3 linked regions of the Drosophila melanogaster genome follow. The gene in region 1 interacts genetically with each later gene. Each region holds a gene or a part of one and is shown on either strand. Other genes may lie near its edges.

What was found. Genes that interact genetically often act in the same process or in processes that back each other up.
Region 2: of ari-1 (region 1) and Vps13B, changing one suppresses a phenotype caused by changing the other (phenotypic suppression), as found in Drosophila melanogaster (one study listed by BioGRID).
Region 3: of ari-1 (region 1) and bon, changing one suppresses a phenotype caused by changing the other (phenotypic suppression), as found in Drosophila melanogaster (one study listed by BioGRID).

Annotation. Positions count from the first base shown.
Region 1 is NC_004354.4:18,131,650-18,139,508, reverse strand, and holds the start of ari-1 (ariadne 1), read left to right. Parts: upstream 1-1,823; 5' UTR 1,824-1,933; exon of another isoform or gene 1,934-2,144; intron 2,145-2,369; exon of another isoform or gene 2,370-2,458; 5' UTR 2,459-2,848; coding exon 2,849-3,067; intron 3,068-4,169; coding exon 4,170-4,322; intron 4,323-4,383; coding exon 4,384-4,440; intron 4,441-5,148; coding exon 5,149-5,798; intron 5,799-6,137; coding exon 6,138-6,261; intron 6,262-6,322; coding exon 6,323-6,549; intron 6,550-6,631; coding exon 6,632-6,713; 3' UTR 6,714-7,859. Other genes in the region: CG43229 (uncharacterized protein), read right to left, coding at 630-878. UniProt on the Drosophila melanogaster protein: Atypical E3 ubiquitin-protein ligase, which catalyzes ubiquitination of target proteins together with ubiquitin-conjugating enzyme E2 Ubc10.
Region 2 is NT_033777.3:29,934,175-29,938,991, reverse strand, and holds the start of Vps13B (vacuolar protein sorting 13B), read right to left. Parts: upstream 3,015-4,817; 5' UTR 2,819-3,014; coding exon 1,535-2,818; intron 1,478-1,534; coding exon 130-1,477; intron 73-129; coding exon 1-72. Other genes in the region: eIF2Balpha (eukaryotic translation initiation factor 2B subunit alpha), read left to right, coding at 3,165-3,198, 3,258-3,359, 3,422-3,633, 3,701-3,855, 3,911-4,181, 4,241-4,387; CG42558 (uncharacterized protein), read right to left, coding at 4,532-4,753.
Region 3 is NT_033777.3:20,591,296-20,596,152, forward strand, and holds the start of bon (bonus), read left to right. Parts: upstream 1-1,843; 5' UTR 1,844-2,548; coding exon 2,549-2,749; intron 2,750-4,857. Other genes in the region: Pus1 (pseudouridine synthase 1), read right to left, coding at 1-316, 381-657, 713-1,198, 1,262-1,301.

The DNA.
Region 1 (7,859 bases):
ATGCTTGCATAGGTAATGGCCAACATGGATACATACATATGTATGCATATGTATTAATGTATAAATATACATACAAAGTAATTTAATCACAATTATATGCGATGGCCGGGTTTTAGTGGCAACTGCCTGGTATTACTATTCATAAATGAAAATGACTTAAATACTCCCAATGGAGCGGTGCATTTTTCAGCTGCTTTTTTGTGGCGAAAAAAAAAAACAATGCAGCCATTCATGCGCTCAGTGCATTCGGTAAATTTAACTCAATTGATTGAATTACAATCAAATTGTCATTTTCATTATATGCAAAAATGGTATACATTTTGGTTCATGTTAAAAATGCTATTTAGTAACTGCCGTCATGTAATTTTGTAGTTTTTATTTATTGGTTTTATAATTTCTACAAATGCCTAATATTAAACCAATAGAAAATTATTGAAAACATTAAAATATTTACTTCTGTGTAATGAGGCAAACGCCCAATCAATTTTATAACCATTTTTTTCTCATTAAAAATGTGTCTGCTGTATTTATTTTGCATGCTGATTATTTCCATGCAATCGGTTTTTAGTTTACATATGAATTTTAAGGTGATATTCGTTTAGATATTTGTTTTGATGGTGAATCCTATATCAGGGGCACAAAATAAGAGGCACACAGTGTCCTCGTTCGTTACGGGCATATCCTCTCGCACAATGGCATCCCGATGGGTTTTTCCAGCACCGCTGACTGAACTCCTGGCAGAAGGACTCGCATCGGCAGATCGGGTTGCTCAGACGGCACTCGTAGGGCCCACAACTTCCGGATCCGCCCAGGTCGGCCCGTATGGCTGCCACCATTAGAAGAAGAAGAAATCGAACTGCCATCCAACGAATTTGCATTATGACCGCATTCTGATTAAGCCAGCTGGCTCTTTATATACATACCTTATACACAACAACAGTTGTCAGGTGTTGCAATAAAAACACAATATACAATAAAAAACTTTAAGTGAAATCGAATAAGGCGCCCATTGCCAGTGCAACTCTGTATCAACCGATACAGTATCGATAAGGTATCGATATGGCATCGATACATCGATGTTACAACAGAGTGGCAATTTACCATTGAATTTGATTAACGGTACTTGTGAAACAATGAAAATTGGGACAGTAAAGTTTAAAATAATTTTATTCAAATATATTTTTAGCTCGTGCGAAGTTTTAGCAATTTTATATTGTTCGCCACTTTAAAGATTAAACTCTAACCGCAAACAACCGGAGGTTGCAGTTAAAAACATGAGAAAACGTTTGAGTATAATATCTTGACAGTCGAATAAAAGATCTCAATAATAGATCAAGACGCCTAGTTATCCTGATCAAGAATATGTGTACTTTATGAAGTCGGAAGCGCTTTTCAACGAATCTAGTATACCCTTTAATTCCAAGAATAATTAATAATGTTTAAATAACAATATTTATTTCAAACAGGTTTATGTCTCGGATTGGAATTTGACACTGTGGTTCGTGCCTTTGAATGGATCCCTTCAAGTCTTGTTCTGTAAAGGGATTTTCTCAAAAACTGTTTCTGTAAATTAAGCGCATGTCTCATTTTTAAGATAATCTCTTTTGATGAATACACTGAGAATCAAGAAAACGTTCATTGGAAGCTCACTTGTTTTTGAATCTACTGTTTCCCAGCCGTCGATAAGTCACTATTGCTTTTTTGGCACCCATCGATAAGCAGATGTTGTTAAACATACGATTTAACGGAACGGTATGAAACAGGCGGCAATCGGAACGAAAGTAAATGGGAAAAAAGCGCAAACATGCGCACACACTTTCACGCACACTTGACTCCACTGTGCGAGCGCGTGTGTGTGTGTGTTATTTTTTGAGAAAAGCAAAGAGAGCAAGTGAGAACCAACACCGATGCAAATCATTTTGTTGGCTTTACGGTTAGTTTTTCGTGAAAATTCCATTTAATTTGTGCATTGCAACCGAACTTCGCGACGAAGGCGAGCACGATTAGTGCAATAAGCTAGTGTTTTTTCTTTGGAAAAGTGCATAGAAAAACAACAAAAAGTCATAAGCTTTTCGACTGTGCCTTTGTGTACGTGTGTGTGGCAATACACACGTAATGTGCGCATGTGTGTGCGCAGTGTGCTGGTGTGTGCCATTACCTTGAAAACAAAATAATCTGCCCTAAAGAAAAATGCATTTGTGTACATAATTTCGTTGTTTTTTTTTGTTTGTCCCATCGACGTTCGGTCGATTTTACATGATTTTACACACACATGCACACATTTAACATAGTGTTGTTCGCTGTTAAATCAGCAGTTCGGCCCTGTTAAGCGCACGGGCCAGTGTGACCGTTCTTCTTAAAAATACCGAACCAGTATGACTGCGCTGCGACCGTGCAGGGTCTCGTATTGTCATTAGAAAATCTCACATATTCATTTTTCATTTACAAATAAAAATAGCCAGCACGCAGCCTACAAATTAGCAGCGCACAAAATAAGTTAGTGTGAAAAAGGGAATAGAAGCTGTGCACCAAGTGCAGCGACCAAACACAACTGGCCACGCCACTGCGAGGGCAGCAATAATAACAACTGGCGAAAAGGGCTGCGCAAAAACGTAAACAAAAGCAAGTGGAAAACGAGGCAAAGGAAAACGAAAAGACAGAAACAAACGCAAATGCAAATGCAAAAGTAAAATACTGGAAGTAAACGCTGGAAAACAAAGCCTCGAAAGCTGAAAACAAAGAGGAACGGAAGTGGTGCGGGAGGCGCAAGAGGAACAGGAAGAGGAAGAGAGCAGAAGGAGCACCAGCAGCTGAAGCAGAAGCAGTAACGCAAAACAGAAACCGAAAAATGGACTCGGACAATGACAATGATTTCTGCGATAATGTCGATTCGGGCAACGTCTCCTCGGGCGACGACGGCGATGATGACTTTGGCATGGAGGTGGACCTGCCAAGCTCCGCGGACCGCCAGATGGACCAAGATGACTACCAGTACAAGGTGCTCACCACCGATGAGATTGTGCAACACCAGCGCGAGATCATCGACGAAGCCAATCTGCTGCTGAAGGTATGGCCAAGCGCAAGTACAGTGAACACCCGCTAGTATAACTATCCATCCGCAACTTAACTATCAGTCCTAGGGCAGCCATAGAGGTACATTCTTCACCCAGTCCAGACAACAAAGATAGGCAAGCAGTCACCTTTGATTGCTCTACAGTCAGGCCTTCCTAGCAGGAACATGTTTGTTTCGACTTTCGTTAGCGCTGCGATTTGCAGTGAAAGCCAAATGGCTTGACATAGTTTAGTGGCGTATAGCTGCCAAGAATATCTGATCTGTTCGCCGCTCGGAGGCATCACTGTGTGCAGCACAGTGCATTTGGGCATGTGTATCCGTGAATCGCTTTCCCCACCCCTCGCTCTTGCCGCCCACCGCCCTGCCTGGGATCTGGGATAAGCTGAAGGTCGTCCGCTGATGACTGCCAGTGCCAGTGAAATCGGAACACAAGCACCCAGGCGCACCCAAGGTCGCCAGATCCGCATCCCATATCCGCATCAGCAGCTGACTTGCCCGAAGTTCACTAGCACAGTTTTCACTTTCCCAGATTTCGGGGGATTCCCTTAAAATGGTATTATAGATTCCATTTCAAATGAATACATTAGGATCAATGTAGAATCCATGTAATACTTTTTTGTTTCATTGACATTTAAACATCAGAAAATCTTTCATTGCAATAATAAGCGAAATTCACTTAGCTTGAGTGTTAACTTTCAGTATTGATACAGATCATGTATGTAGCTATCTAATTGTTAGTTAAACAAAGCACCTTTGAGTAACTCTTCCCTCTAAAATTGAATTGTACATACATACGTACTTTTTCTCGATTTCCAAACAAATCGATTAGTTATTAGGAATGCCAAGAAATGTTATATATCCTAAAAATTATACTGTTTAGATAGACCAATTGCCAGTGGTAGTTATAGTGGTTCCACATCACAACCCCATCCACGATTATACATAGGTACTGCTGATCATACTGCTGCTGATCGCAAATGATTTGGCATTGATTTCGATGCCAACTGGGATGCAGCCCCCGCTCTTTTACCCCATATATGTACATATGTGCCATCATCCACTGACATTCGATTTGTTTTGTTGTCTATGGCCACAGCTACCCACACCCACCACACGGATACTGCTAAATCACTTCAAGTGGGACAAGGAGAAGCTATTGGAGAAGTACTTCGACGACAACACTGATGAGTTCTTCAAATGCGCACATGTCATAAATCCTTTCAACGCCACCGAAGCGATCAAACAAAAGGTGAGCCCAGTGCTAAGGCTCCATTTGATGTCTCATCTAATGCGTTTCCCTTCATTTTCAGACCTCACGCAGTCAGTGCGAAGAGTGCGAAATATGCTTTTCACAGCTCCCGCCAGATGTAAGTTGTCATGGAGAAGGGATGAGTAACTCCGTGACCTAATTGCGGTGTAGAATATATTTTCCCGCTGATTAACCACGAATATTTTGGGGGGAAACATGATTTTTTAACTGGTCAATGGTGCCTTATCTGATGACCTGATAATAATGTTAGGGCGTTGCTTTGCTATACAAATCTAAAATATTCTAAAAAGACTTGATTTGTATTTTATCAATTATTTTTATTGGCTTACGTTATCACTAATTTACTTGCTTGATTTACAATTGTTGATTGTTAGCCTGAATTTGGTTATGTAAGCAGTTCAGCAGTAATTCGCTGGAATCCAACTGTCTTGTGGAATCAAACATTTAATAATGTAGTTTAAAAAGTAAAATTTAGTATCACGTTTTAAAAGAGTAGATTGCAATGGGCAACTTTGGGTTATAACAGCAAAGTAAACTTAAATATATTATAGACAAGCTAACTAACAAATACTCAGAGCGTAAAACACCTATGAAAAGTTTAAAATTACCATACGCTATGTAGGTGGTTTTAATTTGCTGTATGCTTCATCATTAAGCTCTCATAGTTCGCGTGATCTTTAAGTATATATTATAGAATACGATTATAATATATTTATAATATTGTATACTCTTTTGCTCCACAAGCAACAACTTCAAGAATATCTACAATGTATACTAATAGCTACTTTCTCTTCGTTCCATTTAGTCCATGGCCGGGCTGGAATGCGGACACCGATTCTGCATGCCCTGTTGGCACGAGTATCTGTCAACGAAGATCGTGGCGGAGGGTCTGGGCCAGACCATTTCGTGCGCGGCGCACGGCTGTGATATCCTGGTGGACGACGTGACCGTCGCCAACCTAGTGACGGACGCACGGGTGCGGGTCAAGTACCAGCAGCTGATCACCAATAGCTTTGTGGAGTGCAACCAGCTGCTGCGCTGGTGTCCGTCCGTCGACTGCACCTATGCGGTGAAGGTGCCGTACGCGGAGCCACGTCGCGTCCATTGCAAATGCGGCCATGTCTTCTGCTTTGCCTGCGGCGAGAACTGGCACGATCCGGTCAAGTGCCGTTGGCTAAAGAAGTGGATCAAGAAGTGTGACGACGACTCGGAGACGTCCAACTGGATCGCGGCCAATACCAAAGAGTGTCCCAGGTGCAGCGTGACCATCGAGAAGGACGGCGGCTGCAACCACATGGTGTGCAAGAACCAGAACTGCAAAAACGAGTTCTGCTGGGTGTGCCTCGGTTCTTGGGAGCCGCACGGCTCCTCCTGGTACAACTGCAATCGCTATGACGAGGACGAGGCCAAGACGGCCCGCGATGCTCAGGAGAAGCTGCGCTCCTCGCTGGCCAGGTGGGTCATTCGACTGTGAACGATGTCACAGGATAGGAACCCCTTTTGTTTTTTTTTTTTTTTAAGTGATACTTGTTGTGTATTATTTTCGCAGTTCGCTGATAATGACGGTTAGCGGTTTATTTTATCTGCTAATTTCTTTTAAGAAAAGATAACGATTGAAAGCCGTAGAAAGGAATGAATCAGCTATAATTCGTAATTAAATTTTATCGCTGATTAAACCTGTAGAATTAGAAATGCTAAAACTAATCAAGGAAACACGAAAGTATCTAGGCAGAAATGTGAAAGTCATTATGGAATAAAACTCAACTGATATATTATCTTCTGCCAAATCTACAGATATCTCCACTACTACAATCGCTACATGAACCACATGCAGTCGATGAAGTTTGAGAACAAATTGTATGCATCTGTGAAGCAAAAGATGGAGGAGATGCAACAGCACAACATGTCATGGATTGAGGTAAGTGGTGAAAACTCGTGACCATAACAATGCGAATTCAGCACACTCATTGCAATTGCAGGTGCAGTTTCTGAAAAAGGCTGTCGACATACTTTGCCAGTGCCGTCAGACTCTCATGTACACGTACGTGTTTGCATATTACTTGAAAAAGAACAATCAATCCATGATATTCGAGGATAATCAAAAGGACTTGGAGTCGGCAACCGAGATGTTGTCGGAGTATTTGGAACGTGATATTACATCCGAGAATTTGGCTGATATTAAGCAGAAAGTGCAAGATAAATACAGGTGAGCGAGCGAGCCATGTCCGTGTCCCCAACATACAAACGACTCATTATCCAAACATTGATTGGTCTCTCCATTCGATTAGGTATTGTGAAAAGCGGTGCTCTGTTCTGCTGAAGCACGTGCACGAGGGGTACGACAAGGAGTGGTGGGAGTACACAGAATGACGCGAGTCATGGCTGGATAACTAAGCTAAGCCGAGCGGCAGGCAATCGGAATGTAGTGCCCGCTAAGCGCCACCCCATCCAGCATCCGAAATGCAGCAAACACTGTCCCCATCCACATACCGACCAACATCCGCCAAGCCACGCAACACACACACACACACACACACACACACTCACGCACGCACGCACTCACGCAGAAATCGAAGCCGAAGGAGTTGAACAGAAGTTAAGGATAATGCAGAAGCTACACAGAAACGCAAGAGAAAGGAGACTCGAAATTCCCAGAAACGCAGGATAAATCCCCATACAAGAGTTGCAAAGCAAAATTGAAGCCATTTCAGAACACAGAAGCCAGAAGGAAATCACCATAAAATCGTAATATATATAAATATATATATTGAATTATATATATTTTTCTTCGTACTAAGCAAGAGCAGCAGCAGGACACGAAGAAGGACAGGATCAAATAGACACTACCAAACACATACTCACACACTCCCACACACACACACACACACACACAGAACCAGTCACAAGGCTCAGAAGCAGAATAGATATATAGTAAATAATCAACAGTTAAAAACTTATTTGATGTTAACCGATTGCAAAGAAATCTTCATGTTATAAAAACCTAATGAAAAACGAAACAAAATGCAAAAATTAGTGAATTCAAAGCTACACGCATGATGAGAAGCCAACAATAGAACCTAAACTTATGTGAAATAAACAAACTACACATGTAAGCAGAAACACTCGCCCAGCTTCCTTTCCACCTGCCCAACTTCCTTCGACCAAAGACAATAGAATAACAAGATGCGTAACGCAACGCGATTTTTTAGCACACATTTTTTTGGCAATGGATCTAGAAGGTGGCTCCAGGCTCTCTCGAATTTTTGAGAGAGAGCGAGAGAGTGGAGAGCGCTACAGCAAATAGCTCTTTTCTACGTATACAGTGATAGCAGACAATTGTATGTGTGCACACGTATGCTTATGCATTGTAAATTTGACCCCCTTCTTAGACTTTAAATCTTTATTATTTTTGATCAATTGGCACCATGCTAAAAATTCTTGTTTTGCATTGCCTTAACGTTATTATTATTTGAAAATAGATTAGAAATAGCCAAATCTATGTACATATTATCACAA
Region 2 (4,817 bases), on another chromosome or scaffold:
TGGAATAATTCGAAACCGATTGTGTAATTGGTGGCTCCGACTGGTTCACAGACTCCAAATCAGTTTCTACTTCTGAAACCAGAATTAATTACTTTTATAAATATTAGTGATTTATATAGAATCACGTACCCTTGTCTTTTGTAATTTGCCTTCCACTGTTGTCCGAAAAATTTAGGAACTGCAGCAAATATATGTCCGTAGTGATGCGAAATGGTTCCAACCAAAGGCACACCACTGTGCCGGGAATTTTTTCCTGCTCCGAATGGACCTCCTCCAGGGGAAACTGACACTGCATCTCAAGCCACTTATTGTCTGCATTCTTTGAAGTGGACAACACCACATTGCGTATATTCATTTTGGTATGGACGGCATCAGTGTGGACACCTTGAAGTGACCCCACTGCAGCCAAATGTGTATGGTACTTGTGATAGACCAGGTTTAGTTTGGTGCCCACACTCTGCAGCTTGATCACATCAGAATTGACGTTGACATTGGCTACAATGTGGGCCAGATCACAAAGATCTTGGCCACTGAAACTCGAAATTAACGGCACCAAGCGCTTTGCGATGATTAGCTCGCGCTTTGAGAACTCTAAAGTTATGATCTCTGATTTTATTTCCGAAGTCTCTAAAGGCGCCTCGTTTTGACGCCAAAGATGAGGCGCCAAAAGGCGGTTCCAGTTCACTTGAACGCGTGGAATATTCAAAAGCTTGGCACGTCCATTATCCGGAGTTGTATTCATAATCATAAGCGCCAAGTTTTTCACATTGAAGTGAAAACAGTTGTAGCAGGCATTAACCACGTCCCGAGGCTTCTCTTCTAGATGAGTAATCAGTTGGACCAGGCGAACAGGATTCACTGGTCCACACATTGTGCCCTCGACTAGGGAGATCTTAAGCTGCAAATATGGTAGCAAAGATTGTCTGACTGTGGTCGTCAGTTGGTGTTGATTGATCGCGGATGACTCATCTTGCTGCTGGCGGGGATACAACTGAACCACAATGTTACGCAACTCAATTTTGTAGTTACAAGTGGGCACCAATCCCATCAGATACTCCAGATCAGGTATAGTCATTTCAGAGTTCTTGTTTTCCGGCTCGGGGACACCGCGATCCTCATCCTTCATCGATTCTGAACGATATCCCGGGTAATCGTAAGGACGAATTAAATCACTAATTACCTTTTTAACCTGGACGAACGACTGCGAAAAGTGGAACGTGATTCCGGCGGACAATAGACGATACTGGATGCGAACTCCCAGATCTCTGAGCTGGCTCTCCGCCACGGGATGGCTGCTGGGCTTAGGCACCCGGTGCTCGATGACGTCGAAGGCCAAAACAGGACTGCGAAACAGCATGTATTCATCCGTGTTCCTGGCCACGTAATCCGCGTAGTTGTAGCTGCACCAGGACCGTTCGGCGAACATGTAGTTCTCGTCAAACAGACTCTTGTCAATAAAGGATCGCTCTTGCTGAAACTTTATATAAAAAATAGTAAAGAGTGAAGGCAATAAACAGTCTTAGGATCAACTCACTTCCTGGGTATTGACCAAGTTGCGATCCACGAGATCGTCGCTACGGTAAGCACCTAATGGCTCCATGCACATGCTAGAAAGGCCCGCCTTGACGTTGGCCCAGTCGCACTCCTTTAGAATTGTCCGCTCGTAATAAAGTCCGCCCAAACTAATTCGCAATATTGGGGTGTATCGTATTCGCTTGATGCCACCCATGCTCTGGTCGGTAAAGTACTCCGAGTTTTTAAGCTGGAAGTTCAGCTCCTCGGCGTAGACTCCCAGATCGAAGGCGTGACCAGTGGGAGTGTCGCAGGACGAGGAAGGCGCCTCAGTATCGAAACTGGGCAGTAGGCTCCAGGCCCACCAAAAGACGCTTCGTCCTGCGGATTCGGTCCCCTGTTGCGACTCGCTGCCCTCAGCTACCGCCTCCTGATCTTCTGGATTCTGGGGGTCATCCTCAAACTCGGCTGGCTTAAGCTCGAGCAGCATTTTGACCAGCCTCATCACCATGGGGAACTGCAGAGATGACACGTTGATATCCAGCGACTTCGTGAAAACTCCAATGCGTGTTGTGCTTGTTGTGGACACCGTGTTGGCGTTGTACTTGCGGAGAACCCGGCACTCCAGAGTACATCGGTAGAGAACCGGCTCCTGGCACACCTCTATCCTACCAGCTGTGTTGCGCTTGTCCAAGCAGATGGTCAAATCTGAGACCTGGAGCAACTTGCGCATGACGACGGACACCGGGTGTATGTCCACCATAGTGGGCTTCCAGTCCTCGCCGGCGGAGCTAAAGTTAAGGGTCTGCACATTCATAGAGACCACGATGTCGTCCTCCACATACTTCAGGATGATGTTGTGGCACTGCAGGTTGATGTTGTTGATGATTTTGTTGACCACGCTGGAAGAGCTTGCCGGTCCAGGACTCTTCGTCTGATCCGGCTGCTCCACGGACTCCCGCTTCGATTTCCTTCGCTGCTCCCGCTGGAAGGAGGCCCTGCGCTGCTTGCTCTCACTATCCGGCAACTTGGCCACGAATTCTATGGTATTGATGACGATCTTCACGGGCTCGGACATAAGCTTGGTCCACGGCACCAGGATGCTGAGTTCATGAATGTGGCCGGAAACTAGTTCTACTGGGAGGTTCAGCTCTTCCTCGAGCACCTCCAGGCGCAGGTCCAGATTCTGGAAGGTGACCTCGCCTTCCCACAGCGACACTTGGGCATCCTCGTCGCGGAAGTTCTTCACGTACTTGGCCACGTAGCTCAGCAGAATCGGAGTGATGTAGGACTCCAGTTTGAACATGGTGTGGCGACGCCGGAGGCTCAGGCCTCGATCCCAGCGCTGTTGACTGCTCACTTATATGACACTCTTCATTTAATGCGTTGCCGGCGGTTAACTTGAATTTACATGCTGTGAATTTTGCTACAATTCTGGGCCGAATATGTTTAACAAAACAAACATAGCCATAGAATTTTGGATTGTTTACGTTTCAGCCCCGGCAATCTGCCAATCGTTATCGTTATCGGAAGGTGCGAATTGGCAATCGATAAATTAACCTGTGAATTGCGAAGTGTAAATAAGCCTTCGAACAGCTGATTATTTTGTTGACGTTTAACGTGCAGCGGTAGGCTTTCACAATTTCATAAAAATGCCGCAAATTACGGAAAATGGCCAGGATTTTGGTGAGCTAAGAATGGGTCTAAAGTTACGCAGAAGTGATAATACAAGCTTTCACCCTTAGATGTGGTCAAATACTTCCTGCAGCTCCTGGACGAGGACAAGGATCTGTCCTCCGGCATTGCGGCTATCAGGACTCTGCTAATGATCCTGGAAAAGAAACAATGTTAGTGGGCTAATAAACCTCTTTACTGAACCATTTTAAATCATCTACAACATATTCCTCAGTTGGAACCATTCATATTCTACACACAACCATGAGGGAAGCGGTGGCTGCCATGCGGAATACGGATTTGTCTATAGCAGCCATTGTTTCTGCCGGAGAGCTCTTTTGCAGGTTCATCACCCTCAGTCTGGACGACAAGCACATGGAGGAGTGCCGGCAGATTATGTTGAATCGCGGAAAAATCTTCCTCACCAAGTTGCTCAATTCCCGGCAGGTTGGCTCTCATACGAAAAGCTAGTGCTAGCGCATGAACTAACCCCTCATTGTACCACCCAATCCAGGTGATTGCCCAGCAGGCCCAAAGGTTCATTACCGATGGCTGCCGTATATTGACGCACTCCCGATCCCGGGTGGTCCTCAAGGCGCTGATTACAGCCTCGCAGAACAAAAAGTCCTTCCACGTTTATGTGACGCAGGGCGGCACGGGAAACTCTGGGTAAGCTAGGGTGTGTTTCCGATAGAATTCAGGTGTAAGCATTGTCCGTTCTTAGCGAAGAGATGGTTAAGGATCTGCATGCGGCCGGCATCGATTGCACGCTCATTCTGGACTCAGCCACCGGCTATGTTATGGAATCGGTGGACTTTGTGCTTGTGGGGGCTGAAGCCGTGGTGGAGAGTGGTGGCATTATCAACCGCATTGGCACCTACACCATGGGTCTGTGCGCCCGTGAGATGAAGAAACCTTTCTACGTTCTGGCCGAAAGCTTCAAGTTCAGCCGTCTGTATCCACTCAATCAGCGCGATCTGCCAAACGAGTACAAGGTAGGTTCTTACTGCGTCATTAAAGCAGGAACGGCGATTAAGAGTGGGTTTATTTATAGTACTCCCGCAAACACCTAAACGATGTAAGCAAAGTGCACCCGCTGGTCGACTATACGCCACCCGTCTACATCACCCTGCTCTTCACCGACCTCGGAAGACTAACACCCTCGGCCGTAAGCGACGAGTTGATCAAACTCTACATGTAAGGGCGAATAAAGATATTGCACTTAAATACCTTTGTTTAATATGACTGTTTGAGATGAATAAATAGGGGCTCGACATTACTGAATGTACATAAGCTATAAAGCTAGTTACTCTCGCTTACACCTATGTAGAATTTATATTGTGTCTTAGAACCGCATCCTTCGCGAATAGCTCGCGTCTACCTCGTCTTCTGACCCCCAGGGATCGTAGATGTCCACGCTGTAGTGGGACGCTTCGCTGTTGCCATCGTCGTTTGTGTACTCCTCATCTGTATAGATGTCACTGCCGCTTTCGTCGTCCGACCAGTGATCGTGCATCCTAAACTGATCGTCGAGGCCATCCTGAACGTCGTCCACATCGCTGGCATTCTAAACAAAAAAAATACCAATTTATAATGCCACATATGCATTTTAATAACAAGCAACAATAACC
Region 3 (4,857 bases), on another chromosome or scaffold:
CAGCGGATTGTGGATGCCGTCCTTGCCGTAGCGATCGTTGTAGCGCTCGTAGTGCACTGTGTCCAGCACGAGGCCCAGTCCAGGGGCCATCGGCAGGTCCAGACGCTCCTCCGTCAGTGCCCGCTCTAAAGTGGCCGCCGTCGTGTTCCCCCTTACAATGGCAATGGCTAGACCCACCATCTTGCGAATCTGGTGCAGCATAAAGCTCTGACCCTTAACCTTAAGTGTGACAAATTCGATGTCCTGGGGACTCCGGAATGGCTCGCTGCTCGTAAAGGACATGATGAAGCGCTTGGACGAAGGATCCAGAAAGCTTCTACAAGGGTAGTAAACAAAATATTAGTTGGAGCAGAAATGAAGTATAAACCTGGCTTATTTACTTCTTGCTGGTGAAGTTGTGGAAGTTCTTCGTGCCCTCGTAGAGCTTCAGGGTTTCTTTAACCTTCTGCAGCAGCTCTGGTGAAATCCGGAAGGTGTCGTGCACGTCGTCGACCTTTTCCTCAAACGGAGCAAAGGCCACGGTGGGCAGTGTGTAGGTGTAGGTCCGAGCATTGCATTGATCCTTGGCATTGAAGCCCTTAGTCACGCGTTCTACGCCAAACAGACGGATCTGTTGCGGCAGATCGGCATTGAAGGCCTCCAGGTCCAGCTCCTCAGCTGCAGGAAGGAATAGGTTTAGTATTGTCTTGTAAAATAGAATAAGTAAACTAACGCAGCTTGACGGAGCACACCTGGCGGGCGGCGGAGACGCCCTTGTCGGTCCTGGCCGCTCTTTGGAAACAGGAAATCTGAATCTGCTCAAAGCTGTCCTCTGTAATCCACTTGTGCTTTAGCATGGCTTTGAAGAGCTCCTCCTCGATGGTCTGCATGCCGGGATTGCGCTGCATACCATAGTAGTTCGCACCGCAGTAGCTAAGCAGGATGGCGCTCTTCTTGCGCTTGATCCGGTCGGCGGGATCGAACGGCGCTCGCTTCACGCCGTTGGCGGCATCCTTCTCGTCCTGCTCCTTCCAATCGACCCATTTCTTGCGTTTAAGTGTTCTCTTGATGCGGTTGGCGTCCTTCACGGCTTCGCCCTCCAGTTCTTTGGCCTCTTTCCTGGCTTCCTTCTCCACCTCCAGTTTATCTAGAGCCTCTGACATCGCTGCGGCGAAGGATTTGTGGCGATTCCAGGGATTGCAAAGGGTTTTCAGGCGAACTATTGTAAGAAAATTAATTATTATAAATTCTCGAATTGGAGGTGTGATCACTAATAATTAACCTGCCTTGGTGTAGTCGTTTAAAAGTCGTCTTAAAAACATTAAGTAAACAATTCTGGATTTAAAGTGGAGGAATTCACACACGTGTGGTTGTGCTTCTTCTTCTTGCTCTGTTACGGATCAGCTGTTTTATTTAACAGCTCTGTTTGGCTAATACAAATATGTTTTTTTCGAAAATCGCGTTCTTTGAATTAGCTCAATAATTAAGTTGAGTTTCCGAAATGCTACTTTTGATTTACTTAAGTTTTAAATTAGCTGTGTGGAGAAAAATGTTCAAAGCTTTACGTAACGTTATGACTTAACAGAACGAAGACGTTACAAGTTTATTTTAAAAATTATGTTATATTTTACTATAACCTTTTAATACCAGGCTAAGTTATTAGTTTTAAATTGTAAATAAATGGCATCTTGACCATGTATTACAACATTAATATGATTTTTTACGAAATGAACGGCGAATTCAATTGTGGTATTGCCAGATCGCGTGTTTAGTGTGACCTCAGCTGCTTACGTTTCCACGGCCGTGCGTAACAGCCCTCGAAATGCCGTCGTACTGGCAACGCCGACATGAATTAATTGAATCCAAAATGGCTGAACATTTTTTGTACAGAAGAAGCGTCCAACGAGAGCAAACGCCGTGAGACCGTGTGTTTTCGCAGCGAATTACGCCAATAAAACCGCACTAAGAGCGCGCTCGCAGCGCGAATAAAGAATAGCAGCCGCGTATGGACGAAATGCGGCACGAATCGCTGGAAAAATCGACGGCCAGACCGAAAAATAGCAGCGAAATTCGAGCGAACGTCGTGTATAAGTAAAACGAAAGTTGTGTCGCTCTGTGCGAAAGAGAGAGGGAGAACCCAATATTTTTGCAAGCCAGAAGTCGAAGGTGAAATTAAAATGCATTAGCCACCCAATTGAAGAGGAGTCAACTACGAACAAAACTTTAAGAATCAGCGAAAAATCGTTTGTGAACATCCATACAAGCACAAATCGTTGTTTTTGCCTGCTCTCGTGTAGTTCCTGTGTATTGGTGCGCGCGCCCTGTGTGTGTTTGTGCGTGTGCGTGCGTGTAAGCATTGGAATGGATTAACTACCCAACTAATTCCAAAACAATAATACCGCAACATAATCGCAATAGTCATGCCGTTTCAAGGCGACAGCCTTTAGGGAAACATTCGGTCGGTCGGTCAGTCAACCAAAAATCAGTTGCTATAATTAGCACGCCCACGTTTTAATTTCAACGATCGCCAGCAACCGCCTACGCGGTTAAATCGCAGGACTTCGCCAACATGGATATGGATTTGGAGCAGCTAAAGAACGACTTCCTGCCGCTTATCGCCGGGATCAAGCAGGAGCAGCTGGATGCCGTGCCCACGGATGCCCTGCCCCAGATGAGCACACCAAACACGGCCAGCGGTGCGCCCACAACCTCGTCATTGAGCTCCTCTTCGCTGAGTCTGAGCAACCCCTGCGACAGTGCCGAGAAAAGGGTATGTTGCTAGTCCGTATCACGCGTTCGTTACCTATAAGCTAACGCCAAGTTGAGGTTAGCTAAAGCCGCCTAATCACACGTGCTCTTGCGGCTGATAACAAACAGCCGGCTCAATACACATATTCCCCTGCTCTGCGCAGTCTGCTCAGTGTAAACTTTTGTTTTGGTTGGATTTTGATGCGCTCGTGCTGCGTCCTCCTTATCAAGCGTTTCGAATCGAGTCTCGTGCAAAAAGCGTTTGTTATCTTTTTCCCAGGCCAAGGCAAACAAAGCAGCGTATTCACACAACCAAACAAACAGCGCGCAATGGCAAGTGTTGTTGTGTTTCACTTTCACGGCCCAGTCCGAGATCTTACAGTGAGAAAAACGGCGTGCACTTTGCTCTATTTTACAGTATATGTGTATATATAGTTTTCTATTATTTTAAAATTAATATGACTATGCAGTTTTAATCTTGGATATACCAGTTAAGATGTAAGAAATGTGATGTTATCGAACGTTGAATCAACTTTAAAATTAGTTCTAATATACAAATTTTTAAGTTGTTATATGAAAAAATGAAAAATAATATACCAACTTAATGCAAGAATTTAATTAAATTAAAAAAGGTACAAATTAAACATTAATTATTAGCTTACTGATTGAGAATTTTTTTTTTTACTGTGTAGTGAGTTAGGGTCTCGTGCCGATGGTTCTCGATTCCCCTATGAGTGCGAGCAAAACAAGCTGTTTCTAGACAGTCGCTACCTCGCTTTCACTTACGTGGAAGGGCTAAGTCAAGATGGTCTCCCTCTCTTGCAATTGCAGATCAGCTGCAACATGCAGCTGCCACTCTCCAGATGAGCGGCAATAGAGTGTGTGTGGTTGTGTGTGTGCTCTCTACTGTGTTTTGTTTGCTCTCCGTCGTGCTTGAGCTGCTCTTTAAGCTACAGTGGAACCCAAGTAGATCATCCTAGTGGAAAGCTTGAACATAATTGTCCTGAAAAATAAAAAAATACTATAATATTTTAACTACTTCAATCTAAAGAATTATTGAATTGCTTTTACACCTTTTTGTTTATTTTCATTGTATTAGTTACTTACTGTACAGCCAGATAACTTGCCTTAACTGAACTTCCAATATAATTTTGGGACATACAGAATATAACTACCTTATTTTCAACGTAAATTGGGCAATTTGAAAGTTTCATTTAACACTAACATTATGAATTAAAATCAACGGCTTGTGATTACAATAAAACAAAATTAATGTTTTTCACAAATGATAACCGCTTTAGATGACACTAATTGGTCACGATATTTTATTATGTGTGCTAAATAAAACAAACACGTTTTCATGTATGTAATTAAAAATTCGAGCTCTAACTTTCTATGCGGCATGTGATACTTCTAGTTACGGAAGCCTGACTGTATGAAAGACTCAAACTTCTCCTGCAACCGTGCAAATAAATGTTCGCCTAGAGTGGGCCTTTTGGAGTGGCCACTCTCTCTTGAACCCCAACCAGGGATTGGGAATGACATGCACTCATTCAATCCGTCCCTCAATCATGCAAACGGTTGTGTTTGCTGTGGTCGTTGGGGGCACTTAAGACCCCCAGACTCCATGCCCAGTCCCCCCCCCCCCCCCGCCTGAATCCCCTCCAGATCACTTAATGCCCATTTCTGATGCGGGCAAACTATCAAGTGGAAAGTACTTCGCCGAGGCAAGGTGTGGAGTTCAGAATGGATGATGATGGGGATTTCAAAGGAATAGCTTTTAGATTATTAATCCTGTTAAAGATTTTCATACATGCATGTACATAACTACAAAACAATCTGACTTAAGAAACTGCCAAGCACGGAATAGTTAAATAATTAATATGAAAAGAATTATCAAAGAATTATTTATGATCCAGTAAGAATTATGCGATCCTTTAGATTTCCTTTAGATTTGAATGCTAATTCTTCTCTTGACGGCATTTTTTTCCTTTTCATCGAGTAAATTATTCTAATTTATGCATGACTTCACAAAACTAACTGTACCTACTCATGAATACATGGAATACATGATGTCGTTAAGTAACTTTTATGGGCGAAAAACATAATAAGAATTTCTCAATAAAGAGA